Lonchura striata: one gene and its partner. The protein of the gene in region 1 binds, or shares a complex with, the protein of each later gene. Links are inferred from orthologs where the notes say so. Each region holds a gene or a part of one and is shown in the gene's direction. Other genes may lie near its edges.

What was found. The genes of interacting proteins can lie anywhere in the genome.
Region 2: the proteins of CMKLR1 (region 1) and RARRES2 are in contact, whole or in part, in a cryo-EM structure (PDB 8ZJG), measured with the Homo sapiens proteins. The link is inferred for Lonchura striata from reciprocal best matches to the Homo sapiens genes CMKLR1 and RARRES2. Residues at the interface, in NP_001135815.1 of Homo sapiens: Asp20, Tyr21, Leu22, Asp23, Ser24, Ile25, Val26, Val27, Leu28, Phe88, Leu92, His95, Tyr103, His104, Asn116, Leu119, Ile120, Met123, Arg178, Leu183, His184, Gly185, Lys186, Ser188, Cys189, Phe190, Asn191, Trp203, Thr205, His217; in NP_002880.1 of Homo sapiens: Leu34, Phe37, His38, Phe60, Thr75, Ser76, Cys77, Arg96, Leu111, Gly112, Arg113, Leu114, Val115, His116, Cys117, Pro118, Ile119, Thr133, Leu136, Arg137, Gln139, Arg140, His146, Ser147, Phe148, Tyr149, Phe150, Pro151, Gly152, Gln153.

The regions. Positions count from the first base shown.
Region 1 is NC_134620.1:11,454,053-11,463,568, forward strand, and holds the start of CMKLR1 (chemerin-like receptor 1), read left to right. Parts: upstream 1-5,652; 5' UTR 5,653-5,888; intron 5,889-7,180; exon of another isoform or gene 7,181-7,401; intron 7,402-8,550; exon of another isoform or gene 8,551-8,703; intron 8,704-9,516. UniProt on the Homo sapiens protein: Receptor for the chemoattractant adipokine chemerin/RARRES2 and for the omega-3 fatty acid derived molecule resolvin E1.
Region 2 is NC_134603.1:156,737,811-156,747,618, reverse strand, and holds RARRES2 (retinoic acid receptor responder protein 2), read left to right. Parts: upstream 1-5,802; 5' UTR 5,803-5,852; coding exon 5,853-6,053; intron 6,054-6,978; coding exon 6,979-7,080; intron 7,081-7,707; coding exon 7,708-7,812; intron 7,813-7,879; coding exon 7,880-7,993; intron 7,994-8,083; 3' UTR 8,084-8,226; downstream 8,227-9,808. Other genes in the region: uncharacterized protein LOC116183190, read right to left, coding at 1-1,204, 1,733-1,846, 2,102-2,210, 2,531-2,557. UniProt on the Homo sapiens protein: Adipocyte-secreted protein (adipokine) that regulates adipogenesis, metabolism and inflammation through activation of the chemokine-like receptor 1 (CMKLR1). Also acts as a ligand for CMKLR2.

The DNA.
Region 1 (9,516 bases):
GCACAGGAGCTGCACTTCGGATGTGCCAACATCTAATGAAGGAAGAGCCTCCAGGCTTCCATTAATTAACAAATTAGCTCATCAAGAGGCTCCCTAATTTGTCGAATATAAAGCTGCCCTATTAATTAAACAAGAGGACAGGTTTTAATTTGCCAGAGCTCACATTTAATTGATAAATGACTCGTTTAAATCCTTCGTGGTGGAATTTTCCAGGAGACGAGCACGTGGGGTCCTCGGAGCAAGGAGGGATTTGGGATCTCAAATATCCCAATCACCTCTCTCTTAATTGACCCCTCCACTAATTGGGTCTGCTTACATCCAGCCTCTCATTCCTCCTCCCCTAAATCCCATTAGCTCCCTGTTTTCCACAGGGGGAATTTTTTGCAGCTGTGCCAGGGATTTGCTGGGTTGGGATGTGCCAGGGTGAGGGTGAGGGATACCCCCAGGGCATCCAAATTCCAGGTGGGATATCCAGGGAAATGCTTTCATTTTAATCAGTTTTTAGTTTTAATTCCCTTGGGGATTATGGCTCCTTGAAGGCAGCTTCTGCTGGCGTTGGAAGCAGCTGGAATTCCATGGCCAGAATTAATTCCTGCACTGGAATGCCAAGGATCAATCAGAGCTCTCCTGACACTCCAGTGATTTCCACACAGAATTAATTCCTTGGACATCCTCTCCCCAGCCAGATGTGCCAGGGAAGCCACATCCAGAGTATCCCAAATTCCTTTTTCCCAACCTGTTTTTCCCCCAATAAGTTTTAAGGGAGTGTGTGTGAATTATGTGAAGTCCTGCCTGAATTTTCAATTTATCCCTATTGATTTCTAAGGTATTCCCAATGTCTGAATCCTTCTGGGAGCTCCATTCTCCATCAGCTGGGAGCAGTTCTGGGGATTTTCTGCGTCCACTCCAGGCCATGGATATCAGAGATTCCCTCTGCACTTTTTATGGAATAAAAATCAGGAATTCATTCGTGTTAGTGAATCTGGCTTCCATCAACAGCCCCCTCTGGATGGATCCCTACATTTCTGGATCTGTTTAACTAATTCTGAGACAACAGCTGGATTTTGGGACTGGGCTCCTGTGTGGGAAAGGCTTGTATCCAGCACGGGGCTGAGCTCTGGATTATTGGGATCAATGATCCAGATCCATTCAGGGAAGATGCTGTGGGCAACCCCAATGAGGGTCCAGGTACCCCCACATCTCCCTGGCACCACCAAGCAACTCCCTCATTTCAGAAACAATCCCAGCCTGGCAAAGGCTCAGGAATAAAACGTATTTTGCTGTTATTTTTACAAATTCCAGGGCAATTGGAGCCTAGGGAACCTGCACCAAGGCCACCCCCCCACAGCCAAGAAAACCCCAAAAAAGGCATGGATTGCTCAGAGCTGGCAGAAATTTGAACCTTCCCACCCGGAGCTGGGCAGTTCCTGGGCCCATCCCAGTGATGGGAAGCAGGATGGGGCCATTGGAAAAGTCAGCTTCAAAAATACATGTCCCAGCAAGGCTCTGCTCCATGGAATGCTGAGTTCCCAGATGTTGATTGCAAGGAAAACTGGGTTTATTAATTAAAAAAACCATAAATGAGGCAGGTTTCCTTATGGATGTTTGGGAATTTGAAGGAATCTATTGTTATTAAGACAAATCCAGCTGGTGCCTTAAAGGATTGGGAGTTTCCTGAGGGGTTTTATCAGGCAGATCCCACTGATTTTATTGCTGGGAGATTTCAGGAATGCTCCCCTCTATCCACGTTTGGTGTCTTCACTCGGCACACCAGCAGCAGGAAAAGCACATCCAGAGGACTTTAGGATGATGCTGAAGGAGTTCAGGGTGAAAGATGAGCCTGAATTTGGCTCCAGCAGTTCCCAGCACAAGGAATTGAATCCTGTCAGCATCTCCCATTTTCCAGTGGGATGTGCAGCATCCAGACCTGGAGCCCTTTAGGCATTTTAATAGAATCTCTTATTTTTTAAATGGAATTTCTTATTCCAAGGCCAGGTTGGATGGGACTTGGAGCAGCCTGGTCTGTGGAAGATGTCCCTGTCCGTGGCAGGTAATGGAATGGGATGAGTTTAAGGTTTTTCCAAACCCAGCCACTCCAGGATTCGATGCCACCTCTGCTCGTAAATCCCTGGGCAGGTGACATCCTGTCTGTCACCTGCTCAGGGGCTCCAAGGCAACAACAGAGTGTCCATGCCTGGCAATTCCTCATCCCTGCTCCAGCAGGAATTGGAAATCATGGAGAAATCTCCTGAAGTGGCACTTCCATCACTCCTGGGGAGCAGGATGGGGATGGGAGGGGGTGGCTGATGCCACAGATGAGGAATCCATGGAACAGGGCCCAGCCGTGTCCCGGGAATGTTCCCATCAATCCTCCTCTGCCAAGGGTGGGCTTTGGGAGCCGAGACCTCGGAATTGTCCCCTGGCACAGCTCTGAGGGAAGCACGTGGAAAATTGGGGGGAATGATCCGAGACTGGAGGCAAACAGAGGCTCTGCGAGGGTATCTGGGGGTGTGGAGATCCCTGAGCTGCCCATCCCAGGGGTGGGATCAGGGATATGGTGCCAGCCCCGGGAGCACAGCGGGGTTTGGTCCCAGCCCCGCCGTGTTTCTGGGGCTATTTATAAGCTCGAGTTGCACAAGGTTGGGACTGGGGTTTTTGGTGTTGTTTTGTTTTTTTTTGCCGCGGTTGTATCAAATCAGCGAAAAAAGGGAACGGGAGCCGTCTCTTGGACATCCTGTCTGTGGCTTCTTTCTTTGGGCAGGGAGTTCGCGCTTGGATCGGGAGGCAGTGACGGGATGCGGAGGTCGGAGCGCGGCGGGTGTGGAGCCAGGGATGAGATGAGCTCCCTGCGGGAAAGGCAGGGCAGGCTTGTCCCTGGGCATAAACCCAGCTCTAAAGCCCGGCACTGGGAGCTGGGATACGCAGCGGGATCCTCCCGTCTTGTCCTCGTAGCTGAGCCCAGCTCCTTTCCCAGCCATTTATCCCCACGGCTCTGCCCGGGGCGAGGGAAAGTGCTGCTGGGTGCCGGAGAAAGCTCCCCTGGAGAGGGAAAACTTCCTCCAGCTTCTTCCCCACTGACTGCGACATCTGTTTCGGGATGAATCAGGCGGGTTCCCAGCGCCTGTGTGGGAGGGAAGAAGGGCGAGAGCTGGAGGGGTCGGACCTGCCGGGCTCCGGCCGTGTATCCCGGTCCCATCCGCGCATCCCGGCTCCATCCGCGTATCCCGGCTCCACCCGCGCATCGCATTCCATCCGCACAATCCGGCTCCACCCGCACATCCCGACCCCATCCGCGCATCCCGACCCCATCCGCTCATCCCGGTCCCACCCGCGCATCCCGACCCCATCCGCGCATCCCGGCTCGGCAGGGAGCTGCTCCAGGGCGTTTAATTAGCCCGAATCAATGTAGAGCTTTAATTGCTTTGCTCGGTGTGGGTGGCACTCGGCGCTTGCCAAGGAAGGACATGACAGCTGCCAAAGGCTGCGCGGCCGCGGCGCCTGGAATTGCCGCTCCCGGCGCTGCTCCCGTGCGGATCCTGCCCCAGCGGCAGCCCCGGGAGCGGGAGCGGGGATTTCTCCTTCCCCGCAGGGCTTTGCTGAGCGCCCTGGAGGGAAAAAAACCCAACCCGCAAACGCTCGGGATGGGAAATCCTATCCCGAGTCAGCACCTTTCACCCTGCTAAACGCAGGGGTCAGGGTGAGAGCAGCATCCTGCATCCTGCCGGGCCTGGGCAGTGCCGGGTGCCTGGGGGGTTGGTTTTGGGGGGCTGCAGAGCTCGGCCTTGCTGGGATCACCGGGATTGAGCCAGGTCATCCCCCGGAGCTGCCGGGATTTCGGTCATTGCTCGATGTCCCGGGGTCAGGCCTTGGCAAGGCCACGTGCAGGAGCATCCATAGCTGAGCATTCCCAGCCCCAGCAGGCCCTGGGGTGGTTTTGGGAAGTCCAAAAACTCCCACCAGGTCCCGGCTGGTGCCACCCAGAGCTGCCTGGGCTGAGCATCTCTTGGTGGCACCGTTTAACTCCAGACACACAAAAGGAAATCCCATCAGTTCGCAATGGATTTTCTCCCTTGCTGGCTGGATTCAGGATGTTTTTTGCCCCTGTCTTTACAGCTGAGGATAATTAATTAGCCTTAATTAGTATCCTGTGGTAGATGAACTTCCTTTCTGCTGGGCAGAGGGTTGGAATGTCTGGTGGCAAACTCAGGGCGGTGATTTTGGGGTGTCCCAGTGGGGGAAAATCCTGCTCCTTTTCCAGGCTGGAGGAGGGTGAGGGGGCACCAGTGCCAAAAGTTCTTGTGTTTCCTTGTGCTGCCTTTGCTCCCAAGCCCTGCACTGGCTCTTATCCCGCTGGGATGGGTGCTGGGACTGGGATGGGTGCTGGGACTGGGATGGATGCTGGGATTGGGATGGGTGCTGGGATTGGGATGGGTGCTGGGATTGGGATGGGTGCTGGGACTGGGATGGGTGCTGGGATTGGGATGGGTGCTGGGATTGGGATGGGTGCTGGGACTGGGATGGATGCTGGGATTGGGATGGATGCTGGGACTGGGATGGATGCTGGGACTGGGATGGATGCTGGGATTGGGATGGATGCTGGGACTGGGATGGATGCTGGGACTGGGATGGGTGCTGGGACTGGGATGGATGCTGGGACTGGGATGGGTGCTGGGACTGGGATGGGTGCCGGGATTGGGATGGATTCTGGGACTGGGATGGGTGCTGGGACTGGGATGGGTGCCGGGATTGGGATGGATGCTGGGACTGGGATGGATGCTGGGACTGGGATGGATGCTGGGACTGGGATGGATGCTGGGACTGGGATGGGTGCTGGGACTGGGATGGGTGCTGGGACTGGCATGGGTGCTGGGACTGGGATGGGTGCTGGGACTGGCATGGGTGCTGGGACTGGGATGGATGCTGGGACTGGCATGGGTGCTGGGACTAGTGTGGTTGAGGCTTGGGAGCGCGGGAGCTGCGTGGGGAGGGAAGGAATTTTCCCGGTGCCACATCCAGCCTGGGGTTATCCAAACCTCCTGCTCTGTGTGGGTGGAGGCTGCGCTGCTCAGTGCTCCCAGTCTGGGGGGCTGCCCCAAAATCCTCTTGTTTGTCCCCCTGAATCCCATCCCTGCATCCAGCCTTTCCCATCCCTCCTCCCCAGGGGACTCTGGAGCTTCTCCCAGCCCCTCCGTGGCCCCCGAAGAACTTTTCTTGCAGGTGTTAAAGGGTGACAGAGCTGCCACCACTGAGCCTCTGCGGGCTGGGGGGGCTGCCTGGAAGCATCTGCAGCATCCTGGTGGTAATGAAATCCATCGGGAAAAGCAGCCCCTGAGCAGCAGGAACGGCGTTTGGGAGCCAGATTTGCCTGAAGGGAAGTGACTCAACGTCTTGGAAGGATTTGGGGGCGGTGTGGGGAGCAGAGGACAGCGGCTGCCCCAGGCTGGGGACAGCACCGCGGCGGGGGCTGGCAGCCACCTGCCTCCCCTTGGGCTCCGGGCTGGAGCAGCATCCCCGCGGAGCGCTCCGGGCTCCGTTATCCCTCCGTGGGACGGTGCGCTCCGGCCCGGGGGGCGGCACAGGAAAGGAGGCCCCTCGGGAAGCGTTTGTTGCTTCCTCACGCTGGCTTGTGATCCAGGCCAGCGTTCCCAGCTCCCGGCGTCACACCCTCTCCCAGCTGTTGCTCGCCGAGCATCGCGCTGCCAAGAAAACCTTGGTGATGGACGCAACTCCCTCCCCGCTGCCTTAAAAGCGGCGGGGAGCGGCACCGTGCCTGTGTGTGTCCCGGCACGCCGGGATCCGCCTGGGAATGGGATCCTGCCGGCACCCCGGGCACCCCGAGCCCGTCCCGCCCGGCACGGAGCAGCGGGACAGCGTTGGCACCGTGCGAGGTACGGACAGGTCACTCGGTGGGGGGACACTGCGGGAGCAGATGGCGCAGGACGAGGTGGCAGAGCGATGGGGCAGATCCAGGCCGTGCCACTCCCCATCCGTTCTTCTCATGGGTTTTATCATTTTGGGCGGCGTTTCCCACTCTCCTGGCACACCGCTCCTCTGCACCCCGCTGGGGATGTGCCACCAGTGTGGAATATCGCGGGGCTCCTGGCACACAGGGACACCGGGGAGCCGGTCACGAGTCCCCAGCCTGGCTCCACAGGGGATTGGCACATCCCTGCCCACTTCTCCACGGCTTTCTGGGGCTTCTCCTTTCCCCGCAGCAGCCCCAGGAACCGGCACATCAGCATTTTTCTAGCCCTGATTCAGCTCAGGGACACAGAGTTGCGACACAGAGTTGTGCAAAGGCGGCAGCGCCTCCGATTCCTCTTTTTCGGCTCTCACGGGAGCTCCTCCACGTAGGACGGGGTCAATGTCCCCACGTCACGGGACGTGGTGGCCTTTAGCTCCCTCCCACCTGCCACCACTCCCTGCGGGCATCACCCCCTGTCCCCTGGTCACACCTGGGTGGGGCTTTTCCAGCTCTGAGGGAACTGGGATTTATTCCCTGTGCGTGGCAGAAGCCAAGAGCTGGATAACTCATGGATCTCGTTGAGGGAGAGCAGGTGGGAGCTCTGGTGGAAGGTGATGCTCTTTCACAGCACGGTGCAGCTTTTGCTCCAGCTGTTTTGCATCTCCCTCTGGCTCAGATGTCCTGGCTCAGGGCAGGGATTTGGTCCTGCACCGTGGATGCCACTGGTGATTTGCAGCTCCTGGCTGGCACAGGGTTGAGGTCAGGGTGGTGAGGGACAGCCCTTGGCTGGGGACGCTCTCTTTGGGGGTACAAACCAGGCCAGGCTGATGTCCTCACATGGGATGAACAGCTGGGAATGGACAGGACTCGTGAGCAGCTTCTCTTCTTCCCTGCACCCCAGGAATGGCTTTGGGTTCCCCGTCTCCTGCGGGTGTGAGCCAGGAGCATCCCAGCATGGATTTGGGGTGCCTGGGGAGCAGGGATGAAAGGCAGCCGAGGGGACCCTTTGGCTGTGCTCACAATGAGGGATACCCAAACCTTTCCCAAAGGCTCCCAGGAGATTCCCAAGCCACTGTGGGCAGCACAGGAGCCGTGGTGGACGGGACATGTCACCGCTGCCACATCCCCTTCTGTGTCCGGCTAAACTCCGCAGATTCAACATCCTCCCCCAGAGCTTCCCCCTTCCCCTTCCAGCTCTGCTGAGGCCAGCAGCTGGTTTGTTCCACGGGCTGCCTTTATTTTCCTCATCCTCCCATCCCATGTGCTTCTCCTCGGGATGAGACAGCTCGGCAATATCCGTGTCAGCTCCAGCTGGATGCCAAAGCCACAAGCCCGGGGTCATTCCCATGCCAGCCCTAACGGGGCTGGAGGAGAAGCAGAGATGTCTAATCCAGCTTCTGAATGCTGAAAATTCCTTGGGGATTTATCCAGCTCAGGTAAACACCCCTGGATTTACATATATTCGTTAATTTATATGTTTTGTAGGGATTTGGGAGGAAGGGTTTGCTGGAGATTTGCAACCACTTGAGTTTTTTTTTGCTCCCTTGTTGTTCTACAGTGGGTTTGGGATCTCTGGGATCCCCACTGTCCTTCACCACAAAGCCCCTAATTTTCCCTACAACCCCAGCCTCTTTTGGAGCTGGGCTTTGCAGCCTGGGGGGTGGCAAAACAGCACGGAAGGGAGAGGAGCTGGCAGAGAATTTGGGGGGGTTGATGTCCTGACAGTGTGGCAGTGTCCCCTTGCTGGGGACAGGGAGAACAGGGTGGCTTTTCTTTGCCGTGCTGATCAGCATTCAGCTGGGGACACGGAGCACAGCTGGGAGGATGCTCCCACGGATCCGGGGTGACTGAGCCTGCTGTCCCCTGCTGTGCCACATCCCCTGCGGGGTCACGTCCCCCCCGCAGCCCTATTTCCGTTTGCTTGGGTTTCTGTCCCTTTGTGCGCCCCAAATGCAGAGTGACGTCCCCAAGGTTTTGTCCCCTGACAAAGCCCAAGCCGTGGTGAGGGACGGCATCACTGCACTGCTGGGGTGTAGCAGGGAGGATGCTCTGGAAAAGGGAGGTTTTTTTTGTCTTTTTATTGCCTGAGAAGTGCCAGGAGAAAACCTTGGATTATTAGAAGAGAGCAGAGGAGATGAAAGAACTTTTATTATCTTGGAAGTTGAGTCATTTTAAGAAGCTCAGAAGTACAGACTGCCCTTTTTCAAGGAAATCTTTGCCTGTGTAGGTGAAAACACCCGAATTTTCCCCCTTTAATCCTCGAACCTTTCCAAGAGCAGAATGGATGGAGCAAAAGGCCGGGATTTTACGAACAGCGTGGCTCTTTCAACACTTGGTGCTAGGGAAGGCCGGGTTCCTCTGCTGGAGTTTCACCCTGGGAGGGGTCTTTCCTAACCCAAATTTTGAGATTAAACCCCTTTTCCTGGCAGGACTGGAGCGCTTTCCCCCATGGGGGTGACCCCACACTGTGGCCGGGAGGATCCGTGGGATCCATCCCATCCTATCCCGACCTGACCCGCTCAGCCCGGCCGGCTCTGCCCAGATAAACACTGACTCATGTTTTTCTGTCCCACCCTGGGCACAGCAGCTTTTTTAAGGCTGCCTTTTCCAGCTATTCCCTTTTTCCTGCGCCGTTCACACGGATGGGGTGCAGGGAGAGGCTGGGGATGCCGGAGGCTGCCGGGTGTGGGGGTCCCGGATCCGTGATGCAGAACTGGGATGTGCCTGAGTGGATGCAGGTAGGGATTAAGTTTCCCACTGCTCTTGGAGCAGAGCTCTGTGCCTCAGTTTCCCCCGTGGCTGTGCCTCATCTTTTTGCCCTGGGGGTCTCCAGGTGCTGGGGGAGGTTTGGGAGAATTTCCAGCCCGGGATCCTCGCTGGCAGGAGCTCATTCTCAGCCTGCCGCTGCTGCTCCCGTGGCATCCCACATCCCTGTGCCCTTCCCAGCCTGCTGCAGCGGGGCACAGGGGTCAGGGGTGGTGGCAGGGCTGGAATCAGCCAGGAGCAGCTTTTGGGCACGGTTGGAGTTTGGGGGTTGGAGATCTGAACTCCCCCTCGATGGGCTGGTGGTGGATTTACAGCGAGGAATGGGGCTCCATCCCGGCTGTCCCGGGTGGGAGTGGGATGCTGAGCAGCCTCATCCCTGTGGCATCTGTCGCCATGGCAATCACCTGCCAAAACAAAGGGGGATTGGAGCTGGGTACCCAGAGCTGCTTTGCCTCGCTCCCTGAGATTCCTGGGAGCTGGATCCCTGCAGGGATGTCCCTGCTGTGTGCCAGAAACACGTGGGTGGCAGAGGGATCCATGGGGTGGCCTCGGGTGTGCCAGCTTGGGATGGGGTTTGCATCCTCCTTCCCTGGGGCATGAGATGCCATGGATTTTTAGGGATGCTCGGGATCGCAGGGTGGGGCTCGAGCTCATCCGGAGCTGTGAACCCCCACGGAACAGGGACCAGCGCCTGCCACCTGCCCCCAGGGACATCCCCAGGGACACCGGGGATTGAGGCAGGGTGGGGTCTGGTGCCAGCAGCTCCAGAGGGACGTGGAGGTCCT
Region 2 (9,808 bases), on another chromosome or scaffold:
TGGTTGCAGATGAAGGGCTTTTCCGGGGAGAGCACGGCTTCCGCCGGCCCCGGCTGCGCCCCCAGGGGCCCCAGCACGGGCGGGCCGGGGGCAAAGGGCGCGGCGGGCGCCTCGGGGGGCCGCAGCAGGGGCACCTTGGGGCAGAAGCCGTCGCCGCAGTGGGCGCAGGGGAAGGGGGGCTCACCCGGGGCCGGGGGGGGGAAGCCCTTCTCGGGGCACGGGAACAGCTCGGCGCCCTCGGGGAGCTTCGGGGCGGGCGGGAGCGGGGCAAACGGGGCGGGGTCCTGCGGGGCGGGCGCGGGGGGCAGCAGGGCGGGCGCGGCCCCGAAGGGCGCGGCGGGGGCCGGGCCGCGCGCGGGGCAGCGGCGCTGGCGGGGGATGTGCGTCTTCTGGTGGGCCTTGAGGGAAACCTTGTCCTTGAAGCACTTGTGGCACTGGGCGCAGGGGAAGGGGCGCAGGTCGGTGTGGGTGCTCTGGTGCGTGACCAGGTTGGTTTTCTGGGTGAAGCGCTTGCCGCACTGGGCGCAGGCGAAGGGCCGCTCACCTGTGTGCACCCGGTAGTGCGTCACCAGGTTGGTTTTCTGGTTGAAGCTGCGGCCGCACAGGAAGCAGGAGAAGGGCCGCTCGCCCGTGTGGATGCGCCGGTGCGTGATGAGGTTGGGCTTCTGCCGGAAGCTCTTCCCGCACTCGGGGCACACGAAGGGCGCGTCCTCGGGGCAGCCCCGCGCCGGCGCCCGCGCCCGCGCCTTGCCCTCCTCGGGGTGGGCGCCGTGGATGCGCTGGTGCGCCAGCAGGTTGGCTTTCTGCGAGAAGCTCTTGCCGCACTGGGCGCAGGGGAAGGGCCGCTCGCCCGTGTGCACGCGCCGGTGCGTCAGCAGGTTGGGCCGCTGGCTGAAGCTCTTGCCGCAGTCCCCGCAGCGGAACGGCTTCTCCCCGGTGTGGATGCGCTCGTGCGTCACCAGGCTCTGCTTCTGCCGGAAGCCCTTCCCGCACTGGCCGCAGCGGAAGGGGCCGGGGACGCCCCCCTGGGCCCCCCAGCAGCCGGCACGGGGGGCAGGGGGGTCCCGGGGGGGCTCGGGGCCGCGCTGCCCGCCGGGGAACCAGCGGCCGGAGCTGCCGCCCGCGGCCGGAAACAGCTCCAGGGAGCCGGCGCCAATCCCGGGCTTCTCCTCGGGTTCCACCTTGCTCACCCGCCCGGGCTCCACTGCACCGGAGAGATGCCGGTGTTATCCCGGCTCCCGGAGCACCCCAGGCTGTCCCGAGTGGGGAGGACCCGGGCCCAGCCGCCCCTTTCCTCGTGGGCCCCTCGCTCCTGAACCACGGGGACCTGGGACACCCCAAAGGGCCTCAGGTCCCCAAGCCTCTCCTGGCGCGTGACACTCCAAACCCTCCAGTTTGCGACACCCAGGTCCAAAATGGTCAAAATTGGCTCAGAATGGCAAAAACTAGTCTAAAATGGCCAAAAGTGGTTCTCAAAAGTAGCCCACAATAGCCACAAACTGGCTCAGAATTGCCATAAGCTGGTCATAAATGGCTGCGAGCTGGCACAGGAGGGCCCCAAAATGGCTGAAAACTGTCCCAAAATGGCTGAAAAAGGCCTTTAAACTGGTCCTAAGTGGCTCAGAACAGTCCCCAACTGGCTTCAAAAAGTTCTAAACTGGCTCAGGATGCCCCAGAAGGATCCCAGCCCATGTTCCCCCCGAGCCCCCCAGTCCCACGGATCTGGGCTCACCAGCGCAGGGGCTGCCCAGGGCCTTGGACTCCTCCGGGCCCGTCCGCGCGGCTCCGAACGGCTCCTCCGGCGGCTTCATCCCGAACAAACCCCCCGGCTTAAAGAAGCGGTACCCTGGGGGGACACGGGCACCGCCGTCGGCACCACTGGAGCACCGGGACTGCTCCCGGGAGAGCCGGGCTCGCCCCTCGAGAACCTGGCTCCAGGTGAGCCGGGACGAGGTGAGCCCCTCCTGGGCTCCCGCTTCTCCCCGCAGCCTCTCCCATCCCCGGGAATCCCCAGAACGCTTTCATCGTCCCAGTTCAAAGTCCCCACAAAAATGCACCGGGCTCTGTGCGGAGGATTCCAGCCCAGGGCGTCCCCCCTCACCTGTGCAGGGATCCGAGGGGATCTCGGCTCCGACGGCATCCAGCTGGGACCCGGCCCGCGGCGCCGGGCTCAGCCGGGAGTACGGCAGCAGATCCAGGGCGTGGGCGGGCTGGGGAGGGGGCAGCGGCTCAGAGGCGTTTTGGGGCCATTTGGGTCATTTTGGGAGGTCTGAGGACCTTTCCCTGGGTTTGGCCACAGGCCAAGGACAGGGATCATGCCCCTATTCCTCCACCCCAAATAGGAGATTCCTTGCTCCAGGATGGAACCCACTTCCCTGCTCCCCAAACCAGACCCCTGCTCCCCCAAATCACAACCCCACCCCCCCAAAACCAAATCACTGCTTCCCCAGCAGATCCCTGCTCCCCAAACAAGATCCTTGTTCCCCCAAAACAGATGCCCCACCCTGCTCCTCCAGACCGGACCCCTGACCCCCAAACCGGGTCCCTGCCCCCCCATGCCCACTGCCCACCCCCCAAACCAGCTCCTTGCCCGGCCAGGACCCGCACGAGGGAGGAACCTTTCCCGAAGAGCCAGTCCCGCTTTTCCGGGGACGCTGAACCCCCCAAGTCCCCCGTGCCCTCCCGCGTCCCTCCCGTGTCCCCAAACCCCGGGAGCCCGGCGGCGGCAGAACCGGGGGGTGCGGCCCCCCCGCGCCGCGGGACTTCCCGGTGCGCGGATTTCCCGGAAAAACTCTTGGGGGGCTCCAGGGGCCGAGGAAAAAACCATCGGAACCGGCCGCGGGGATCCCCCCGGGATCCCCCCACGCCCCGGGGCTGGCGGAGCGGGGCAGCCCCGGAGCTCCCCCGGGATCCCCGCGTACCTGGGGCGCTCCCCCCGCCGACATCGCCGCCCCGGGCCGCTCCCGGCTCCCCGGGCGCTCCTTCCCCGCCGCTCCCCGGCTCTTCCCGGCCGCTGCCCGGCCTCGGCCTGGTCTCCTTCCGCCTCCGAGTCCCTCAAATGGCCGCGGCGGGTCCTGGGAGAGCGGGAGAGCCGCGATGTGAGCGGGAGGGGACCGGGCCGGGAGGGCAGCGGGACCGGGCCGGGAGCGGCTCCGGCGGCCTCGGACCCCCGTCCTCCCCCGCCTCCCCCCGGAATTTGGGGTGCGGAAGGCGCCGAGCGGGGCCGGATCCGGCTGGGAACGGCGAGAGCTGGGGAGCGCTGGGAGTTGTAGTTCGGATGGGGCTGGGATGGGATGGGATGGGATGGGATGGGATGGGATGGGATGGGATGGGATGGGATGGGATGGGATGGGATGGGATGGGATGGGATGGGATGGGATGGGATGGGATGGGATGGGATGGGATGGGGCTGTAGATGGGATGGGGTGGATTCGATGGGATGGATTTGATGGGATGGATTTGATGGGATGGATTTGATGGGATGGATTCCATGGGAGCGAGCGGGAGCAGGAAATCGCCCCGGCACGGCATCAGCCCGTCCAGCCGGGAACGGCCCCGGGTGTCGGGAACAGCCCCGGCAGTTGGGAAAAGCCCCAGAATTTGGGAATAGCCCCGCTAGCAGGGAATAGCCCGGGAATTCGGGAATAGCCCCACGAGCTGGGAATAGCCCCGGAATTTGGGAATAGCCCCAGAATTTGGGAATAGCCCCGGTACAGCAGCACCTGGAGAACCGGGAATAGACCCGGGAGTTGGGAACAGCCCCAGGAGCTGGGAATAGCCCCGGGAGCCGGGAATAACCCCAGGATTTGGGAATAGTCCCGGTACAGGAGCGCCTGGAGAACCGGGCATAACCCCGGGAGCCGAAAACAGCCCCAGGAGCTGGGAATAGCCCCGGGAGCCGGGAATAGCCCCAGGATTTGGGAATAGCCCCGGTACAACAGCACCTGGAGAACCGGGAATAGCCCCGGGAGCCAGGAACAGTCCTGGAGTTTGGAATAGCCCCGGGAGCCGGGAACAGCCCCGGCACAGCCCCGCCTTGGAGGTCAGGAATAGCCCTGGGGCTCGGGAGGAGCCCTGGCGTGGAATCACCTCATCAGCCGGGAACGGCCCCGGGAGCCGGGAACAGCCCCGGGGCCACCGGGCCGGGCTCCCCCGGCGCTCGGGGATCCCGGCGCTCGGGAGCCCGGCTGTCCCCGGTGCCGGCCGTGCCGCCCCGGGGGGTTCGCGGTGAGCCCCGTGCGCCCCAGCACCGGCTCCTGCGGAAGCCCCGGACCCGCCGCCGCCACGGGGGTTCCCCCCTGGAGACTCCGACAGTTCCTGAGACCCCCCGGTCCCCCGGTCCCCCCGGTCCCCCGGCCACGTGCCCGCGCCCCGGGACCCTCCCGGGGAAACTCACGGGCGGCCGCTGCCCGGGCTCGGTGACGTCACGCGCGCGGTGACGTCACGCGCGCGGTGACGTCACGCGCGCGGTGACGTCACGGTGTCAGCCCGGCCCCGTCCGGCCGCGCCCCGTTCCGGGTCGGGGGGCGGGGCCCGGGCAGCGCCCCCTGGCGGCGCCGCGGGACAGCGCAGGCGCGAGGGGGTGGGAGGGGCCGGAGAGACCCCGCCCACCCAGCGTCCCCCAGTGTGCCTTGGTGCCCCCAGTACAGCCCCAGTGTCCTCCAGTGTTCCCACAGTGCTCCCCAGTGTCCCCCCAGTACAGCCCCAGTGCCCCCCAGTGTTCCTTGGTGTCCCCCAGTACAGCCCCAGTGCCCCCCAGTGTTCCTTGGTGTCCCCCAGTACAGCCCCAGTGTCCCCCCAGTGTGCCTTGGTGTCCCCCAGTACAGCCCCAGTGCCCTCCAGTGTTCCTTGGTGTCCCCCAGTACAGCCCCAGTGTCCCACAGTGTCCCCCAATACAGCCCCAGTGTCCCCCAGTGTTCCCAGTGCTCCCCAGTGTTCCCACAGTGCTCCCCAGTGTCCCCCCAGTACAGCCCCAGTGTCCCCCCAGTACAGCCCCAGTGCCCCCCTATGTCCCCCAGTACATCCCCAGTGCCCCACCGTGTCCCCCCAGTGTCCCCCAGTACAGCCCCAGTGCTCCCCAGTGTCCCGCTCCGGAGCGCATCCCGGGGAGCAGAGGTGATTCCCGGCTGTTCCGGGGGACCGGAGCCGTTCCCGGGGACCGGAGCCGTTCCCGGGGACCGGAGCCATTCCCGGGGATCGGAGCCATTCCCGGGGACTGCAGCCCGTTCCCGGGGATCTGAGCCCATTCCCGGGGGTCTGAGCCCATTCCCGGGGATTGCAGCCCGTTCCCGGGGATCTGAGCCCATTCCCGGGCTGTTCCCGGGGATTGCAGCCCGTTCCCGGGGACAGGAGCCCATTCCCGGGCTGTTCCCGGAGGATTGCAGCCCGTTCCCGGGGATCTGAGCCCATTCCCGGGGATTGCAGCCCGTTCCCGAGGACAGGAGCCCATTCCCGGGCTGTTCCCGGGGAACTGCAGCCCGTTCCCGGGGGTCTGAGCCCATTCCCGGGGAACTGCAGCCCGTTCCCGGGGGTCTGAGCCCATTCCCGGAGGATTGCAGCCCGTTCCCGGGGATCTGAGCCCATTCCCGGGCTGTTCCCGGGGAACTGCAGCCCGTTCCCGGGCCCGGCGCCGTTCGGGCTGCAGGGAGCTCCCGGTGCAGGTCTGCATTCCCGCAGCCCGTGACGCCGTTCCCGGGGTCTCTCCCGATCCCACGCCGGCCCCTCCTCCCGCGCCCCGCGGGGTGGGGGGGTCACCCGCGGGGCCGTCCCGGGGGCGGATTTGGGGGCAGATCCCAGGAAATGGGCTCGTGCCAGCCCGCGGCCCGCGGATCCGTGAGGCCGCTCCCGGCGGGATGAGGCTCCCGGTGTCCCTGTGGCTGCCGCTGGCCCTGGCGGCGGCGGCGGCGGCGGCGGCGGCGGCGGCGGCGGCGGCGGCGGCGGGGCAGTCCCCGCTCCAGCGGCGCGTGGTGCGGGACGTGCTGGAATATTTCCACGGGCGCAGCAACGTGCATTTCCTCTTCAAGGAGCGGGAGGTGGACGGGGTCACCGAGCGGGTGAGGGACGGCATTCGGCACCGGGAGCCGCCGCTCGGGCTCCGGGATGGCCACGGGAACGGGGCTCGGGCAGGGGCTGCGGTCCCGGGAGCGTGCGGAGGAAGGGGAGCAGCACTGGGATTGGCGTCGGGATCTCGGATTTGGGGCTCCGATGGCCGCGAGAACAGCGAGGGGTCAGGGTGGGTGTCCCGGAGGGAGCAGGGGAGCGGCGGGATTCGGGATTGGGGTTCGGGGTTCAGGAGCCGGGATGACCATGGCACTGGGGAGGGTGTTGGGGTGTCCCCGAAGGAACAGAGAGAGGGCTGGGAGGGGATTGGGGTGTCCCAGAGGCAATGGGAGATGGACAGGATCGTCGAGCAGGTGTGTTGGGATTTGGGATTTGGGGTTCAGGACTGGGATGCGGGATGGCCACAGGGATGGGGAGGGGGTCGGGTGTCCCAAAGGGAAGCGGCGGGTGCTGGGGTGTCCCGGGGTGCTCTGGGACCGGCCCTGCTGGCCGGGCTGAGCTCGGTTATTCATTAACAGATCCGAGCTGATCCCGGTGCCCCCAGAGCCGGGTCCACCCCGGGGTGCCCCTGGAAATGTCCCGGTCTGGGAAGGGCCAGGACTCCAGGGACCCCACTTGGGGCCACGTGCCCGTCCTGGAGCCACCCTGGGGTCATTCCTGGCAGGGATTTACCTGAGGCTTTCCAGGATTCAGGATCCCTCCCAGAGTTCAGGGTCCCTCCTGGGATTTGGGGTTCCTATGGGAGTTTTGGGGTCCTTCTCAGGGGCTGGCATCCGTGGGGTTCAGGGTCTCCCCCAGGATTTGGGGTTGCTCTCAGGGTGCTTGGGTCACTCCTGGGGTTCGGGGTCTCACCGGGGGCTGCATTCCCTGGGAATCTGGGGTTTGGGGGTCACTCTGGAGGTTGGGATCCCTCCGCAGGAGGATCCTTCGGGGACGTTCGTGCAGCTCCGCCTGGGCCTGGCACAGACGAGCTGCCGCAAGCGAGCGCCGCAGCGGCACTGCCGGGTGCTGGAGAACCGGGTGAGGGGCTGGGCACAGGGCTGGGTGCCCCTCCTCCCCTGGGCACAGGGCTGGGTGCCCCTCCTCCCCTGGGCACAGTCTGGGCTGTCCCTCTTCCCCTGGGCACAGGGCTGGGTATCCCTCCTCCCCTGGGGCACATGGGGTGTCCCTCCTCCCCTGGGGCACGTGGGGGGTGTCCCTTTTCCCTTGGGGCAACATCCCAGGGTGTTCCCATCTCCCTTGGGCACATCCTGGAGTGTTGTCCCCTCCCTCAGGACACTTTCCAAGCTGTCCCTCTCCCTTGGGCCACATCCCCACTCCCTTGGGGCCTATCCTGGAGTGTCCCCTTTCCATTGGGGCACATCCTGGGGTGTCCCCCCTCCCTTGGGGCACATCCTGGGGTGTCCCCTCTCCCTTGGGGCACACCCTATTCCCTCTATAGGGCCTCATCCCTGAATGTCCCCCATCCCTTGGGCTGATCCCTGGGTGTCCCCTCTCCCTTGGGCCCCATCCCAGGGGTCCCTCAGCCCCCCACAGACCCCCCGTCCCCCCACCACGCTGCTGAGGGTGCCAGGGTGGGCAGAGGGGACGGCGGTCAGTGCCAGAGGGTCCCCGGGGCTCCCGGGGGTGACACACACCGTGTCCCAGAGGAAGCCCACCTGCCTGGCCTGCTACAAGTTCGACACCAGCGATGTCCCCAAGGTGCTGGACAAGTACCACAACTGCGGCCCCAGCCACCACCTGGCGGTCAAGGTGAGTGCCCCCGGTGTCCCCGTGTCCCCCAGCATCCCACCGGTGCCAGCCCCTGCTGTGCCCGCAGGAGATCCGGCAGCGGGACGAGGCCGAGTGCCGGGCGGTGGAGGAGGCCGGCAGAGGGGTGGACGCGCCCTACCTGCCCGGAATGTTCGCCTTCTCCCGGGGGCTGCCAGCCTAGGTGGGTACGGGACAGCCCTGGGGACAGCCCGGGGTGGGGACGGGGACACGGGGATGCCAGCACGGCCGCCGCTCCTCGTCCCCTTTGCAGGCGCCCCGGCACCGACGGACGCTGCCACGGCGCTCCCGGCCTGCCCCGCTTGCCACCCCCAGCCCCGTGGGACCACGGAGGGTCCCGGACGTGTCCCCCGCTCCCGCCTGGCCCCGCTGCCCAGTAAACAGCGCTGCCTCCGCTCTCACGGCTCTGATTCCCGCCCGCGCCAGCCCCTGCTGTCCCCAGGGATGGGGGACACGGTGGGGGGGTGGCTCCCTGTCACCACCGCCTGTGTCACCTCTTGTCCTTCCCCGGGTGGGGAAAGACAGGAACGCGACGGGCTGAGCAGTGCGAGACCCCTGAGGCCGCAGGACAGAGGGACACTGGCGGGTGGGACACGTTTAATGCACAGAGGGACACTGGAGGGTGGGACACATTTAAGGACAGAGGGACACTGGAGGGTGGGACACGTTTAATGCACAGTGCCACCACGGCCCTGTCCCCGTGATGTCCCAAAGCCGAGGCCGGGTCCCCACGGCTCCTCTGGTGCTCCCTGGGGATCCCACGCTGGGCTGGGCTGGCTCTGGGGGTACCCTGGCTGCAGTCTGGGGGTCCCACAGCTCAGAGCAGGAAGGAGACAGGCTTCTGGTGGCTCTGGGGGTCTCACGGTGACAGTGTGGGCTCTGGGGGCTTTCCTGGATCCATTTCTGGGCCGGCATGGCTAAGAGAATGAAGTTGGGCAGGGGTGGCACTGAGGGGCTCCTAGACCTGATTTTGGGGTCTCACAGTTCAGAAGATGAAGGAGCTGGACTTGAGATGGCTCTGGGGGTATCTCAGCCTTGGTTTTGTGGTCCCACAGGCTGTGGTGGCTCTGGGGGCTCTCCATTCTCCATTTTCAGGGTCCCGTGGCTCATATGACAGTGGCTTTGGGCTGTGGTGGCTCTGGACGTTCTCCATTCCCGGTTTTCAGGGTCCTGTAGCTCAGATGATGGTGGCTTTGGGCTGGGTGGCTCGGGGGTTCTCCATTCCACATTTTCAGGGTTCTGTAGCTCAGATGAGGGTGGCTTTGGGCTGGGTGGCTCTGGGGGCTCTCCATTCCCCATTTTCAGGGTCCCATGGCTCAGATGAGGGTGGCTTTGGGCTGGGTGGCTCTGGGGGTTCTCCATTCCCCATTTTCAGGGTCCTGTGGCTCAGATGAGGGTGGCTTTGGGCTGGGTGGCTCTGGGGACTCTCCATTCCCTGTTTTCAGGGTTCTGTGGCTCAGATGAGGGTGGCTTTGGGCTGGGTGGCTCTGGGGGTTCTCCATTCCCCATTTTCAGGGTCCCGTGGCTCAGATGAGGGTGGCTTTGGGCTGGGTGGCTCTGGGGGTTCTCCATTCCCCGTTTTCAGGGTTCTATGACTCAGATGAGGGTGGCTTTGGGCTGGGTGGCTCTGGGGGCTCTCCATTCCCTGTTTTCAGGGTCCTGTAGCTCAGATGAGGGTGGCTTTGGGCTGGGTGGCTCTGGGGGTTCTCCATTCCCGGTTTTCAGGGTCCCGTGGCTCAGATGACAGTGGCTTTGGGTGTGGTGGCTCTGGGGGCTCTCCATTCCCCATTTTCAGGGTTCTGTGGCTCAGATGAGGGTGGCTTTGGGCTGGGTGGCTCTGGGGGTTCTCCATTCCCCGTTTTCAGGGTTCTATGACTCAGATGAGGGTGGCTTTGGGCTGGGTGGCTCGGGGGGCTCTCCATTCCCCATTTTCAGGGTTCTGTAGCTCAGATGACAATGGCTTTGGGCTGGGTGGCTC